3 linked regions of the Saccharomyces cerevisiae S288C genome follow. The gene in region 1 interacts genetically with each later gene. Each region holds a gene or a part of one and is shown in the gene's direction. Other genes may lie near its edges.

Region 1 (5,635 bases):
AATCATCATCATCTTCTTCGTCTTCATCTTCTTCGAAATCATCATCCGCCAAATCATCATCTTCTCCTTCGCCTGTTTTACTTCCTTTTGCTGCCCCATCACCCGTCGACGCATCATCCACATCTTCTGCCAACTCCTTTAACTTTGCCAGCATGGATAGTCCGATGTTTTCATCTTGTAAACCTGTACCAGTAAAAACATCATCGGCATTATTAAACTTGGAGATTGCCAATAATTTTTTCTTGTTGATCCCCATTACATTGTACAATTCATTGGGAAAGAGGTTCAAATTATACGGATGATCATCAATAGAAATACCTATTTTCCTTTTTTTCAAATATTTATCGGAATATCTTTCAATGCCATCATTAGTATCGTCTTCGTCTAGGATTATGTTGGGTTTGCGTTTACCGCTCTTGCTGTTTTCCTGTTGATCTATTATCAAGCTCATTGATCCGGTATAAAATGGGCCATCTTTAACAGTCTTTCCAAAATTGATGTACTTTACTGCTAAAGATCTTTCCTTATTTGTTATAGGACCATTGATGGGCAATGGGATGGATGGAAATTCCGTAATATGATTTTTGCCTACATCTCCATAACCTAATCCGAAGGGTAGATTGCTCATATAGTTGCTCCCGCCACCTCTACTGCCGCCCCTATAAGAACTCATGTTTGTTCGGGGTATATATGCTCGGTACTATCAAGTTACAATATCTTTCTGTCGTGTTGTTTTCTATAGGTTGCTGCGATGAGGAAACTATTTTCTTCTTTGAGATTTTTTCAAATTTCTCTTCATTTTTCATGCGGCCGCACAAGAGTTGAAACCACTGACGAAAGCAATTTCAGTTCATTGAGTTACACCTAGCGAGGCACTTCTTTGTGGAATGGTAGCCATTGTATTGAGATTTTTCTTGTCGACCATCAGCCTTTTTCTTCATAAGAGAAAAGAAGATCTCGTTCATGACTGCTAATTACTTTGAACGATCACCTCTGCAATGTGACATTTGTTCGAAAGCCGCCCATTAGTATTGAAAATAATTTATATTTTCAATTGGCTAGACTACGAAATTTGGACAAGCCATTGCTGCGTAATCCTTTCTCTTCTACGTCACAGTACATCTCTTTAAACCTTTTCGTTTCTCGGCTGTTTAAGGAAAGTATCGTCTTGCCGTATCTACATAAATCAATTCTTACCCATTTTCTTTTGCATTCTAGCCGTTAATTCACGGCTTAGTCGTTTGATATCGTGTTTGAATTGTGAATTGCATCATTCATGCGGAATGGGAATCATCGCAGTCGTTATCCGTCTCACAAACGTCGGCATTTGCTGACTATTAAGGCGACACGTAACCTACAAACTCAATTTGAGACGCAAACGCAAGTTGATTAGACGTTGAGAATGATGCAAGTAGCAACATCGGTAATGGTTAGACTATTTTATCAGAAAACTATAGAAAAACTAAAAACAAAACAATGTCACAATGACAAAGAGGAACCCATACATACACAGAGAGCCTATTCTTCCAGTAGTTCCTCAATATCAGCATCACTATCTGGGTCCAACCCTTGGTTTCTTCTCTTAGCCTCTTCCAAAGCGTTTTCAAACAACTCCTGTTGTCTTTTAACTCTTCTTCTAGTTTTCTTACCCCAACCGAAAGAAGTTGTTTCTGCTGTTGCAGCATCATCTGGCTTGTCGATCAGGTCTTTTGATCTCTTTTCCTCTTTGTCTCGTTTGTCCTTTTCCACTTGGGCAGCCAACTGCTTCTTCGCCAATTCCCTGGATGCGATATTTCTTAAGAGTAAATAACCACCTACAATTATCACCAATCTTATAAAGTGCTTGTAGTCATAGTTGACTAGTTTTGCCATCCAGGTATCCACCCATGTTTCCGCTACTTCAGACATCTCTTTCAATTACTCGGCAGTTTTTCTCTTCATAACATCTTTTCCTCATACAAACCGCCGAGTGCACATAAATACAACTACAAATAATAATATGTTGACATCGGATGGAGATCACTAACTAAACCGCCACCGCGCTAATTCTGCACAAATTCAAATTTCATCATCGCTCTCCACGTCATCATGGACGTCTTCCACCTCGGCGGATTCTTCGTCTTTTGATAGAATTTCCACAGCCCGCGGACGCACAAACGATCCGTGACCCGGCGCCACAGGCCCAAACAGTGTTACCCCATTTATGCGCCCATCGTTTTTGCCTGCGGCTTCCGGGAATTCCACACCGCACCATGTGCCCATCACGTCCAACGGTAGTGGTCCTACGTACCGTAAAATGGCCTCACGTGGAGCGCTCCCGTCTACTGTGACACGACAGTGGCGGCCGATAGCCGCCGTTAATTGCTCTCGGGCATATGCTTCGTCCTGCTTTGCCAGCGCAGCGCGCTGGCTCTGCTGTGCAGCATTAAACCTACCATAGCCGTGAGCCATCTTCCATCGTAATACGGATTGATCCCTTCGCAAATAATCCTCCTCGCTAATTACTTCCATTGAGGGGATTCCTTCCGCTTGCGTGGCCAGCTGGTTAGAGATTGATTGGGCATTAGAGTCTGTAACAACCACAATAAGCTCCTCCTCTCCTTTTAGGAAGTTGGCATCTTCATCCTCATTTGAATAGGCACCCCCCTTTTTAGTACTATATATCTCCTTGTTGTCGTACTGTCTTTTCACAACTATTTCCATATCCTCTGGTTCCACTCCGGTAACATGGTACAATCGGTCCTTGAACTGCCTTAATTTAAGCGAATTTGGTAATTCCTTTTCTGTACGGACCAATTCACTCTCTATGACAACTCTAACCATAGTTTTGCCATGTAATTTTTTTTTCTATCTCTTTATTTGAATTCGTTGCTCTATGTTCTTGTCGCTTGTCTTCTTCAACTGCCGTTTCCCTGCGAGCCGGAAAAAAGTACTGTTCTTTCGAACAAAGGCGAAAAAAGCTGTAGCTGAAAACAGACAACTGGGAAACGACAATTAAGAATACGCATGTACGTGTATACTACTACAGTAAAAAAGAAAGTTATTTGAGAGCAGCACTTTGTTTACTACACAGAACATTAACCAAAAAAACATGCATCAGCAACACTCCGTATGTTTCACTTCTTATTTTCTTCCGTGGCAATAACCTTCCTTTTGACTTATTTATACTAACATTATAATAACTATGTTTCCTTTTTGAACTAAGAAATCAGAGAACAAACCACAACAGCAAAGGAAAAAATTCGAAGGCCCTAAAAGAGAAGCTATTCTGGATTTAGCGAAGTATAAAGATTCTAAAATTCGCGTCAAATTAATGGGTGGTAAATTAGTTATAGGTGTCCTAAAAGGCTATGATCAACTGATGAACTTGGTACTTGATGATACAGTAGAATATATGTCTAATCCTGATGATGAAAACAACACTGAACTGATTTCTAAAAACGCAAGAAAGCTAGGTTTGACCGTCATAAGAGGTACTATTTTGGTCTCTTTAAGTTCCGCCGAAGGTTCTGATGTACTATATATGCAAAAATAGGTTTAATAATATAATCTCATATAAACTCCCTTCCTTACAGTTGAAAACAAAATCAAATCACGGTATGGCATTTCTTTACATATTCTCAATACCTGACTGACATAGTATGCGCTACATAGTTTTGTCCTATTTTTTTTACACCGCGATTTGAAGTCTAAAGCCAGAGAATGAGGAAAAACGAAACAAACTGAGATCATTTGTATAAGGGGAGTCACTGTACAGCTGCCAATACCAATTTTCCTTCTGCCAAATCAAAAAAGTATCCGCATACACATACACCCCTCCCTCTACAATCTTAATTATTTACTGATTCCTTTCGTATTTGTCCAGTATGAGCAATACTAAGCATACCACTTCTCATCACATGGAACTCAAAAGGATCATTATCCTTACACTTTTATTCATACTCATAATGTTGATATTTCGAAACTCAGTGTCCTTCAAAATGACATTTCAAGAACTACTGCCACGATTTTACAAAAAGAATTCAAACTCAGTTAGTAATAATAACAGGCCCTCATCTATTTTCTCGGAAAACTTGGTGGATTTTGATGATGTTAACATGGTCGATAAGACCAGACTGTTTATTTTTTTATTTTTCAGTTTCATCATTACTATACCGTTTATGGTATAAATTAGAAAAGTTAAAGCAGCATGTTTTCATTTGAAACAAATACTAATGCAATAATAGGTACACCATCTACTACATAATTAATTGATAGTTTCCTTTTCCGTTAAGTGCATGCATAGGACGCCCATAATTTTTTAAGTTAAAAAAGCATGTATTTACCTATTCGGGAAATTTACATGACATGGATGCCATAAGGAACGAAAATGAAACATGCATGTCAGAGGAAAAAGAACAAAGCGAGAGGAAAAAGCTGTTGCATTACCACGTAATTTTGTATATAAATATCTGATAAATAACCATTTTATTTCCATCCACTTCTTCTGTCGTTCATCCGTTCATTGACATCACTAGAGACACCAGCGAGCTATCATCTTCATACAACAATAACTACCAACCTTAATGCAACCGATCACCACTGCTTCCACACAAGCCACTCAGAAGGATAAATCCTCTGAAAAGAAAGACAACTATATAATCAAGGGCCTCTTCTGGGATCCCGCCTGTGTTATCGCTTAATTTTTGACGACAACCAAGAGGTCAAATCAATATCTACCCTTTCATTTATTACGTGTTGCTGGCAAACTAATTTATTCCAATTCTCTCATCATTAGCTCACCCTTTCCATACTTTTTCATACTTTTATACATATGTATTTGTAGTTATCACTTTAACAGATTTTTTCATGTTTTTCTTTTCTGATACGCCTTTCCCTCCGCAGGAAATGAAAGATGAACCACCCATTACATTCGATTTTTTTTTTAATTATATTTTTGACTATTATTTAATCATTAAAAACACATATATTTCATAAATTCGTAAGGTCGTTAGTTCTATCGTAAAAGTGAAAAAGTTTTGAGCCAGTTTTCAAAAACCCGCAGGATCCCACTATGTATGGCTTTAAATAATGGTTTTTCACGTGCATCAAGTCCGTACTATCTTCACCACTATAAACTCTTATAGGTGGATTATTCGTTTCGAATGCTGGTGGCAGTGCCGGTTTGAAAATAATCTTACCTACCCATGGGTGGTCTTCCGTTAACGGTTTGATGCATCTTAATGAGTCTTTGATATATCTTTTCCTTGAAACTAGTTGTGTCGCCGGTGCCCACTTCGAATCGTTACTGGATTGATTCTTATTTCCACATTTTAGTGACAATTTCTTTGGAAAATCATGATTTAAACAACCAGTCACGGAAAAGCTTTTCGTACTGAATATTGTACCGTACTCAACGTCCGCATTCTCATAGCGAGATTCTCTTTCATCCAAATATACCAATCTATTGATGTCATCATCCTCAACATATCCATCTTCATCATCCTCTTCGTAATTAGCATCGTCTTCGTCTTCGTCATCATCTTCATCTCCATTTACATCTTCATTGCCACGGTTTAACTTTTCTTCACGATTCGTACGCTCAGCAGAATTCGAAATAGTTGACCTTCCTGTTCCCTCGTATACCGGTTCAAAA
Region 2 (3,784 bases), on another chromosome or scaffold:
AAAGAGAAGCGCACTGAGGTGGAAAGGAAAAACAAATTAACATAAATGTATGGATGTATTATTAAATGTACTGATGTTTATCAAAAAAACTGTCTTTGAAAGTTAAGTACAAGCTAAACATTTACTCAGTAGCGGTAGTAATATTATATAAAACATGGTAAACTTTAGTTGTGTTTCTATATATAGATATATATATGTGTCTATCTATCTATATAAGTTTTATAAATCAGTAAAAATTTTTGTTAGAACATTACATTATAGGAAGACTTCGGCATTAACCTCTACAAAGGATGCAGCGAATGGAACGTCGAAATTCATCATGACTTCAGGATGCAAGACACCCAAGTGGCCGATTTGCTTTGGCTCAGCGCCTTCTTTGGATCTGAACATGACCTTGGCACCTCTACCTGGGAAGTAGGTTTTCACAGAATCGTCTTCTTCAATCCAGTAACCTCTGCCAGAAGCAGCAGCACCGTAGTCTGCAATCCACTCTGTTCTAAAAGTTTGCATGATTTTACCCAATAACCCTTGAATGATTTCAAACCCAGAATTCTTACCCACGTAGATGGCAGCCCAGTGACGTTCATTGTACGCCTTCCTTTCTAGTTTGTCGTCTTTAAATACAACGTCACCGGTTTCAAAGACTTTGATTGGCAAGGAATGTTTTCTGTTTTCCTTGACTGTCTTTAAGATACCAGGCAATAAAGTGGTTCTAACAACTTGGTATTCCAAAGTCTTTGGGTTGGCCAATTTGACAGCTAAATCACCATTGTCGGATTGTCTTAGAAATTTAAAGTTTTCATCGTGCGAACATAAGGTCAATGGTAAAACCTCAACCCACGTGGCTTGAGAGGATGCAACTCTGAAAATATCAGAAACCTTGTTGATTGGTAATGGTTTGGCAATGAAGTTGGCATTGGATAATTTCTCACCCTTTGGCAAATTATTGAAACCATAACCGACAGCGGCATCTTCCATTATATCACAAGCGTGCAAAATATCAGGTCTAGTTACCGGAATGTCAACGTGCAAGATGTCCTTGTCTTCCTTTGATTGAACGGCATGCAACGACATCTTCTTTAGACAATGAGCAATTTCATCAGCGGATTGATCTAGGCCAAGACAGGAGTTGATGTACTTAATGGAGACATCCATAATTCTATCGTTGAAGTTTGGCGCCAAACGGGATTGGCCATTGTGTTCAGAGACAATTTCTACAGGCTCAACCGTGAATGGTTCGTCACAATAACGTGAGAACATTGTAGTTAATATGTTCAAAACGATCTCGGCTTTGGTCTTATCGGTGGCGGTTATATCAATCAAAATGTTACGGGTGTTCACAGAGATCTTCGAATGTTCACTATTGATTAATGGTGGCAGGGAGCAAACACGATCTTTGCTGTCCATAATAACTGGGAAGACTGGAGAATCCTCAATAATGTGAACGTATCTCCCTATGTTGTTTTTCTGTTCTGGAGATTTATAAAACTCGATCAATTTGTCACCAGTAAACTCTTGGGTTTGATTCAATGGTACGAACTTGATGTCCTTTGGTGGTAGAGCTCTGTAATGGAATGGACCTTCAATTGAATCTAAATCGTGAGTACCCATGGCAACCAAGCTTCTGTTTCTACATAGATTGGCATGTAATTTATCTTGCAAGGCAATAAAAGAAGCGTAAGATTTTTCGTTAAGCTTGATATTTCTCAATACAGCAGCGGTAGCAAAAGGTCTAATTTGCTCCGTTGATTTGTCGATGATCAACTTAGTGGTTGGCTTGCTTAATTTATAGTCAGGTCTTTCTTTACGTTCCAAGTATTCGTTCAGCGACTGTGAAATACCTTCGATACAAAGCAAATCGTAACGATTGGCACTGATATCAAGCTTCAATTCCGGCTCCTCCCCGGTTTTCAAGGCCTCCTCTGTGGTGTCTTCGTCCATTTCCATACCGAATTCAAAACATAATTCATCGAACTCTTGGGAAGTGTAGTTTTTGCCTAGAAGATCAAATAATTGCTGCTTGTTCACGGAGACGGTAGGCATGCTGGCTCGGTGTTATTGATGTGTGTTATGCTATTCTGCCCTATTTTTTGAACATTTGATCAACTCCAGGCTTTCGAGAAATACATTGAAAATTTTTCATTTCCTTCAATTTTCTTTCTTTTTTGGTACCGATTCTGAATAATCGGTCACCTCGTGTGTCGTGATAAATAATCAAGAAGATGTACTTTTATACAAGGGTTGTAGTCATCTGGGACACTCTCAGAGCACTGGCTCTGACGACAACCATCAAACGCATGCTCATACGTATAATTCAAGCCTTACATACACTGGTATTCCCTTTGGGGTGTTTCTTTTTCCTGTCAAGTTGGGCACTTAAAAGAACTAATAAAAAATCAGTGTGAACTTTTCGATTTGCAAAGAAAATGAAAAAAAAGAAAAGGAGCTTTCACAAATAAACAGAAGAGATCAAGATGAAGTGGTTGTTGTTTCCGGCAAGAATCGTAGCTCGCACTCGCCCAAACCTCTTCTCGCTGTACAGAAGATCCGTTTCACAGTACTTACGTCCTCGAACCATCCAAAACCTGCAATCAATGGCGCAAACACCCGAACTTAAAACCAAGCTGTTCAAACCCTTGGTCTGGATCGACTGCGAGATGACCGGTTTAGACCACGTGAATGACAGAATTATCGAGATTTGCTGCATCATCACCGATGGACACCTGGCACCCGTCAAAGCGGCCGATGGCCAAGGAGACTCGCATTATGAGAGCGTCATCCATTATGGTCCCGAGGTGATGAACAAAATGAACGAGTGGTGTATTGAGCACCACGGTAATAGCGGTCTCACCGCCAAAGTTTTGGCAAGTGAGAAGACTTTGGCCCAGGTAGAAGATGAGCTGCTCGAGTACATCCAGCGCTACATCCCAGACAAGAACGTTGGCGTCTTGGCAGGCAATAGTGTACATATGGACCGCTTGTTCATGGTCCGCGAGTTTCCCAAGGTCATTGATCATCTCTTTTACAGAATAGTTGACGTCAGTAGCATCATGGAAGTTGCCCGCAGACACAATCCCGCTTTACAAGCACGTAATCCAAAAAAAGAAGCTGCCCACACTGCTTATAGTGATATCAAAGAGAGCATAGCTCAATTGCAATGGTACATGGACAACTACTTGAAGCCACCACAGGAAACAGAGTCGGTCGAGTCAATCGGATCTGAACAGCCGGAGTCACCATCTTCATCTACCTCATCTTTGAAAAGACAACGCACCGATTTTTAATGTAGAAAAAAAAAAAGAAAAAAGAAGTGAAATTTTTCAAATATTTCACACACGAAACATGACTCCTGGTGAGAAATGACCCTTTCAGGTTGCTTTGACCATAAAGGTTTGACTCTATCTCTTGGGTTTCTCATGTTCGCTTTTTACTCTGTATAATTTTTAAATTCATAATCATCTTAGACCGAACCATGAGTCTTCTTCATCTTGTTTTATATATAATGCAGAACTTGCTTCCCTTAGTTTGCGTTCAGTAATCTTTCCTTCTTCTAGTGTAACCTTTACGAAAGATACTACCCCATAGCAAAGCATAACAGCTTAAACCGAATCCTCCTTAACATGCCTTACACTCTATCCGACGCTCATCATAAGTTGATCACCTCTCATTTGGTGGACACCGACCCTGAAGTGGACTCCATTATCAAGGATGAAATTGAAAGACAAAAGCACTCCATCGATTTGATTGCTTCTGAAAATTTCACCTCAACCTCCGTTTTCGATGC
Region 3 (3,457 bases), on another chromosome or scaffold:
AGTACTTGCTTATAAGTTTTCATTGAATGACTTTTTTCACCAGCGGTATAGCTCTGAAATAATTTGTGCATATACGATCTAACTTCTTCTCTATTGTAAGGTTGTTTATTCGCTCTTTTAAATTTCTTATTTGTGGATGATCCATTGGCGGTGGAACTACCCTTTATATTAGCAGGCGGCGCGGTAGATGCGATGGTTTTAGTCTTCGTATTAGCAGGTTGTACAGCCACGGAATCATCTTTTCGTGCCTGCTGTTGCTGTTGCTGTTGCCTTGGAAGGGCTTTGGCAGCTGCCTGCGCCCAACCTGTTAATTTTGGCTTCTGAGGAAGCACAGCGGGCGTTGGACCATTTGAATTTGGACCTGAAGCAGATAAAGTAGCCTTCAAAGTCGAGGAGGTTCTGCCATCTACACTGGTTGTTGAGGTTGTTGTCATTTCGTACTAGATTAAAGGGAAAATTGTATCGTAAATAAGTAATAAAGTTAATGAAAATTCGGAAACAAAAATGGATAGATATTAAACAGTGAACAAATGAAAAATTTCAGAAAAAAAGAATTAAAAAAAAAAAGGGAAAAAATATGCACAAGATCGTATTATTTGTTGTTCCTCGTATTTTTCTTTCTATTTAGTCTCACATTTTTGACACATGCCTGGTGTTATATATACATTACAATGGAAAGTTCTTTTCTCTTTCTCCGAATAAAGTAGCGGTCTATTGATCACTTCTTACGCTGGGTATATGAGTCGTAATAAATAAAATCATCAGAATCATTCGTAAGTCATTTTACTTTTTTAAAAAGATAATTACAGTTTTTGGGTCTATATACTACTCTAAAAATGTGGTGGTGGCTTAATGCATCTTTTTTACAGATGAACCTTCGTTATGGGTATTGACATCGTTGCTAATGCTGACAGAAGGCACAGGCTCATTCTTGATTTTCTTGTTCACTTTCTTGTCATGTTGAAGAGCGGCATACTCAATAGCTTGTGGTGGGAGGGTTGTATCGTTGATGGCGGGAGAGTAGCCAATCTCCTTCAAAGTGTCAACCATTTGATCTCTAACTTTTTCAGCAAATTCACCAATTTTGTCCTTTGTTAAGTTCTCGGTTGAAATAGGTTTTAAAATTCTAACAATCATACAGCCTCTGTTGAAGACCCCATATTTAGGACTTACTAAAGTACTGGTATTGGAAACAACCACTGGAACAATGGGGATCTTACCCTGTTGTGCCAAATGGAAAGCACCCTTCTTGAAAGGCAACATTGTCAGCTCACTCGTGTAAGACCTGGTACCCTCAGGAAAAACCCATAGAGCACGCTTGTTTTTCTTAACATTTTCTAAACCTTTATTCAAGGTGTCAATGGCTTCTTGCCTTTTAGATCTGTCTAAGAAATATGTACCACTCAAAGCCATGAACCAACCCAGAAAGGGGACGTATTTCAAAGACTTCTTGGCAGTAACTGTGCAACCAGGGGGGAAAATCCTACCTAACATGAAGATATCCAAGGTGGATTGGTGATTGGCAATCATAATATATGGCTTCTTGGCCAAATTCTCCTCGCCAACGACCTTGACGTCAAGGCCAAGCATCAATTTCATGACATGGTAAAAACAACGCGCAGTAATCCACTGAGCCAAATGTTGCTTACCGATTAACGTGCAAAGGATAGAGGCGATTACACCGTAAAAGCCACAGCCTGCAAGCGCCAGTACGACCAACACGGACCTCAAGTAATACAAGAACCTACCTATCACACTCATTATTTTTTTGCTCGAATTCACTGACGGAGGGAAACCACTAAACTTCTCTATTGAAGAATTCCCCCTTCACCTTAAACCCTTCCTAATATAAGTATTTTGAACACCATACCATATTCTCAACAAAACAAAGGAAGCATAATTGATATCATCATTCACGAGATCCATCTCGTGACCGTGAAAAAATTTTCGTCTTCGTCTTAGTGTAATGTGTTCAGCCCAACCTCATCGCAATATCTCAAGATTTTTGAATTACAACCAAATCAAAAGCACAGAGTCGCATCTCATCGCTATGATGTATTTTTTTCTTTTTCCAAAAAATGGGTTCTATTTGGTTCTACTGGAACTAAAGTAGCATCTGCAAAGAAGTAATGTCTGAAAAACCACAACAAGAGGAGCAAGAGAAACCACAATCAAGACGTAATTCATTTGCTGTGATTGAATTTACTCCAGAAGTCTTGGACAGATGTTTAAAGCAAGTGGAATTCTACTTTTCTGAATTCAACTTTCCATATGACAGGTTCTTGCGCACAACAGCGGAAAAAAACGATGGATGGGTCCCCATCAGCACCATCGCCACATTCAACCGTATGAAGAAATATAGACCAGTGGATAAGGTTATCGAAGCACTACGTAGTTCTGAAATTTTGGAAGTATCTGCTGATGGAGAGAACGTCAAGAGACGTGTTCCTTTGGACCTAACTGCTGCCAGAAATGCCAGAATTGAGCAAAACCAACGGACTTTGGCTGTAATGAATTTCCCACATGAGGACGTTGAAGCTTCCCAAATTCCTGAATTGCAGGAGAACTTGGAAGCCTTTTTCAAAAAATTAGGTGAAATCAACCAAGTGCGTTTGAGAAGAGATCACAGAAACAAGAAATTTAATGGTACGGTCTTGGTGGAATTTAAGACAATTCCAGAATGTGAAGCTTTTTTGAAATCGTATTCCAATGACGATGAGTCCAACGAAATTTTGTCATATGAAGGTAAGAAACTGAGTGTTTTGACGAAAAAACAGTTTGATTTACAGAGAGAGGCCTCGAAGTCCAAAAACTTCAGCGGTAGATCAAGATCCTTTAACGGCCATAAGAAGAAAAACTTGCCTAAATTCCCCAAAAATAAGAAGAAAAACGGCAAGGAAGAGTCAAAAGAGGACTCTTCTGCCATTGCCGATGACGATGAGGAGCACAAGGAGTGATTCTTGTGTTTCTTCTGGTTCTCGTATCTCATTATCATAGCATATTAAGAATATATGTACTAACATATGTACTAAACAGAAACACAATATGAATTACAACTAATACTATATTATTTGTCTCCTTTTTTTATTAGTATTAAAAATTACCGTTACTGGTTAAAATGGAATACAGCTCATCCATTTAAAAAAAAAAAAAAATAGAATAACAATAATTAAGCAGAAAAAATGTTAACGAATATAATAAATCGATTTGTCCATTTTCATAAATTTTTTTTTTGTATTATTTCATTATCTGTGCCTCAAAGCATTAACTTTTCTTGCAGTCAGAGAGAGTCTCTTGCGTGGATTATACCAACCGCCATTATCAGCCGGCATAGGGGCCGGCGTAGCATAGTTACTATCAGCTGTAATTATGTATGACCACCCTGGTGTTACGGTAGTATGTTGATCAACGGAGTTTCTTAAAGTGTAGTAATACGTTACCTCACTGGTCGCGTACT

Evidence for each region. Genes that interact genetically often act in the same process or in processes that back each other up.
Region 2: mutations in LSM7 (region 1) and REX2 together harm fitness more than expected from each alone (negative genetic interaction), as found in Saccharomyces cerevisiae (3 studies listed by BioGRID).
Region 3: mutations in LSM7 (region 1) and LHP1 together harm fitness more than expected from each alone (negative genetic interaction), as found in Saccharomyces cerevisiae (4 studies listed by BioGRID, with this or other methods).

Annotation. Positions count from the first base shown.
Region 1 is NC_001146.8:347,849-353,483, forward strand, and holds LSM7 (Sm-like protein LSM7), read left to right. Parts: upstream 1-3,091; coding exon 3,092-3,109; intron 3,110-3,205; coding exon 3,206-3,535; downstream 3,536-5,635. Other genes in the region: RPC31 (DNA-directed RNA polymerase III subunit C31), read right to left, coding at 1-673; PGA2 (Pga2p), read right to left, coding at 1,519-1,908; ALF1 (Alf1p), read right to left, coding at 2,059-2,823; YNL146C-A (uncharacterized protein), read right to left, coding at 3,538-3,732; YNL146W (uncharacterized protein), read left to right, coding at 3,867-4,169; MFA2 (mating pheromone a), read left to right, coding at 4,566-4,682; MPF1 (Mpf1p), read right to left, coding at 4,972-5,635. UniProt on the Saccharomyces cerevisiae protein: Component of LSm protein complexes, which are involved in RNA processing and may function in a chaperone-like manner. Component of the cytoplasmic LSM1-LSM7 complex which is involved in mRNA degradation by activating the decapping step.
Region 2 is NC_001144.5:259,238-263,021, reverse strand, and holds REX2 (Rex2p), read left to right. Parts: upstream 1-2,474; coding exon 2,475-3,284; downstream 3,285-3,784. Other genes in the region: FRS1 (phenylalanine--tRNA ligase subunit beta), read right to left, coding at 256-2,043; glycine hydroxymethyltransferase SHM2, read left to right, coding at 3,621-3,784. UniProt on the Saccharomyces cerevisiae protein: 3'-to-5' exoribonuclease specific for small oligoribonucleotides.
Region 3 is NC_001136.10:361,823-365,279, forward strand, and holds LHP1 (tRNA maturation protein LHP1), read left to right. Parts: upstream 1-2,129; coding exon 2,130-2,957; downstream 2,958-3,457. Other genes in the region: PBP4 (Pbp4p), read right to left, coding at 1-434; 1-acylglycerol-3-phosphate O-acyltransferase SLC1, read right to left, coding at 850-1,761; KNH1 (Knh1p), read right to left, coding at 3,246-3,457.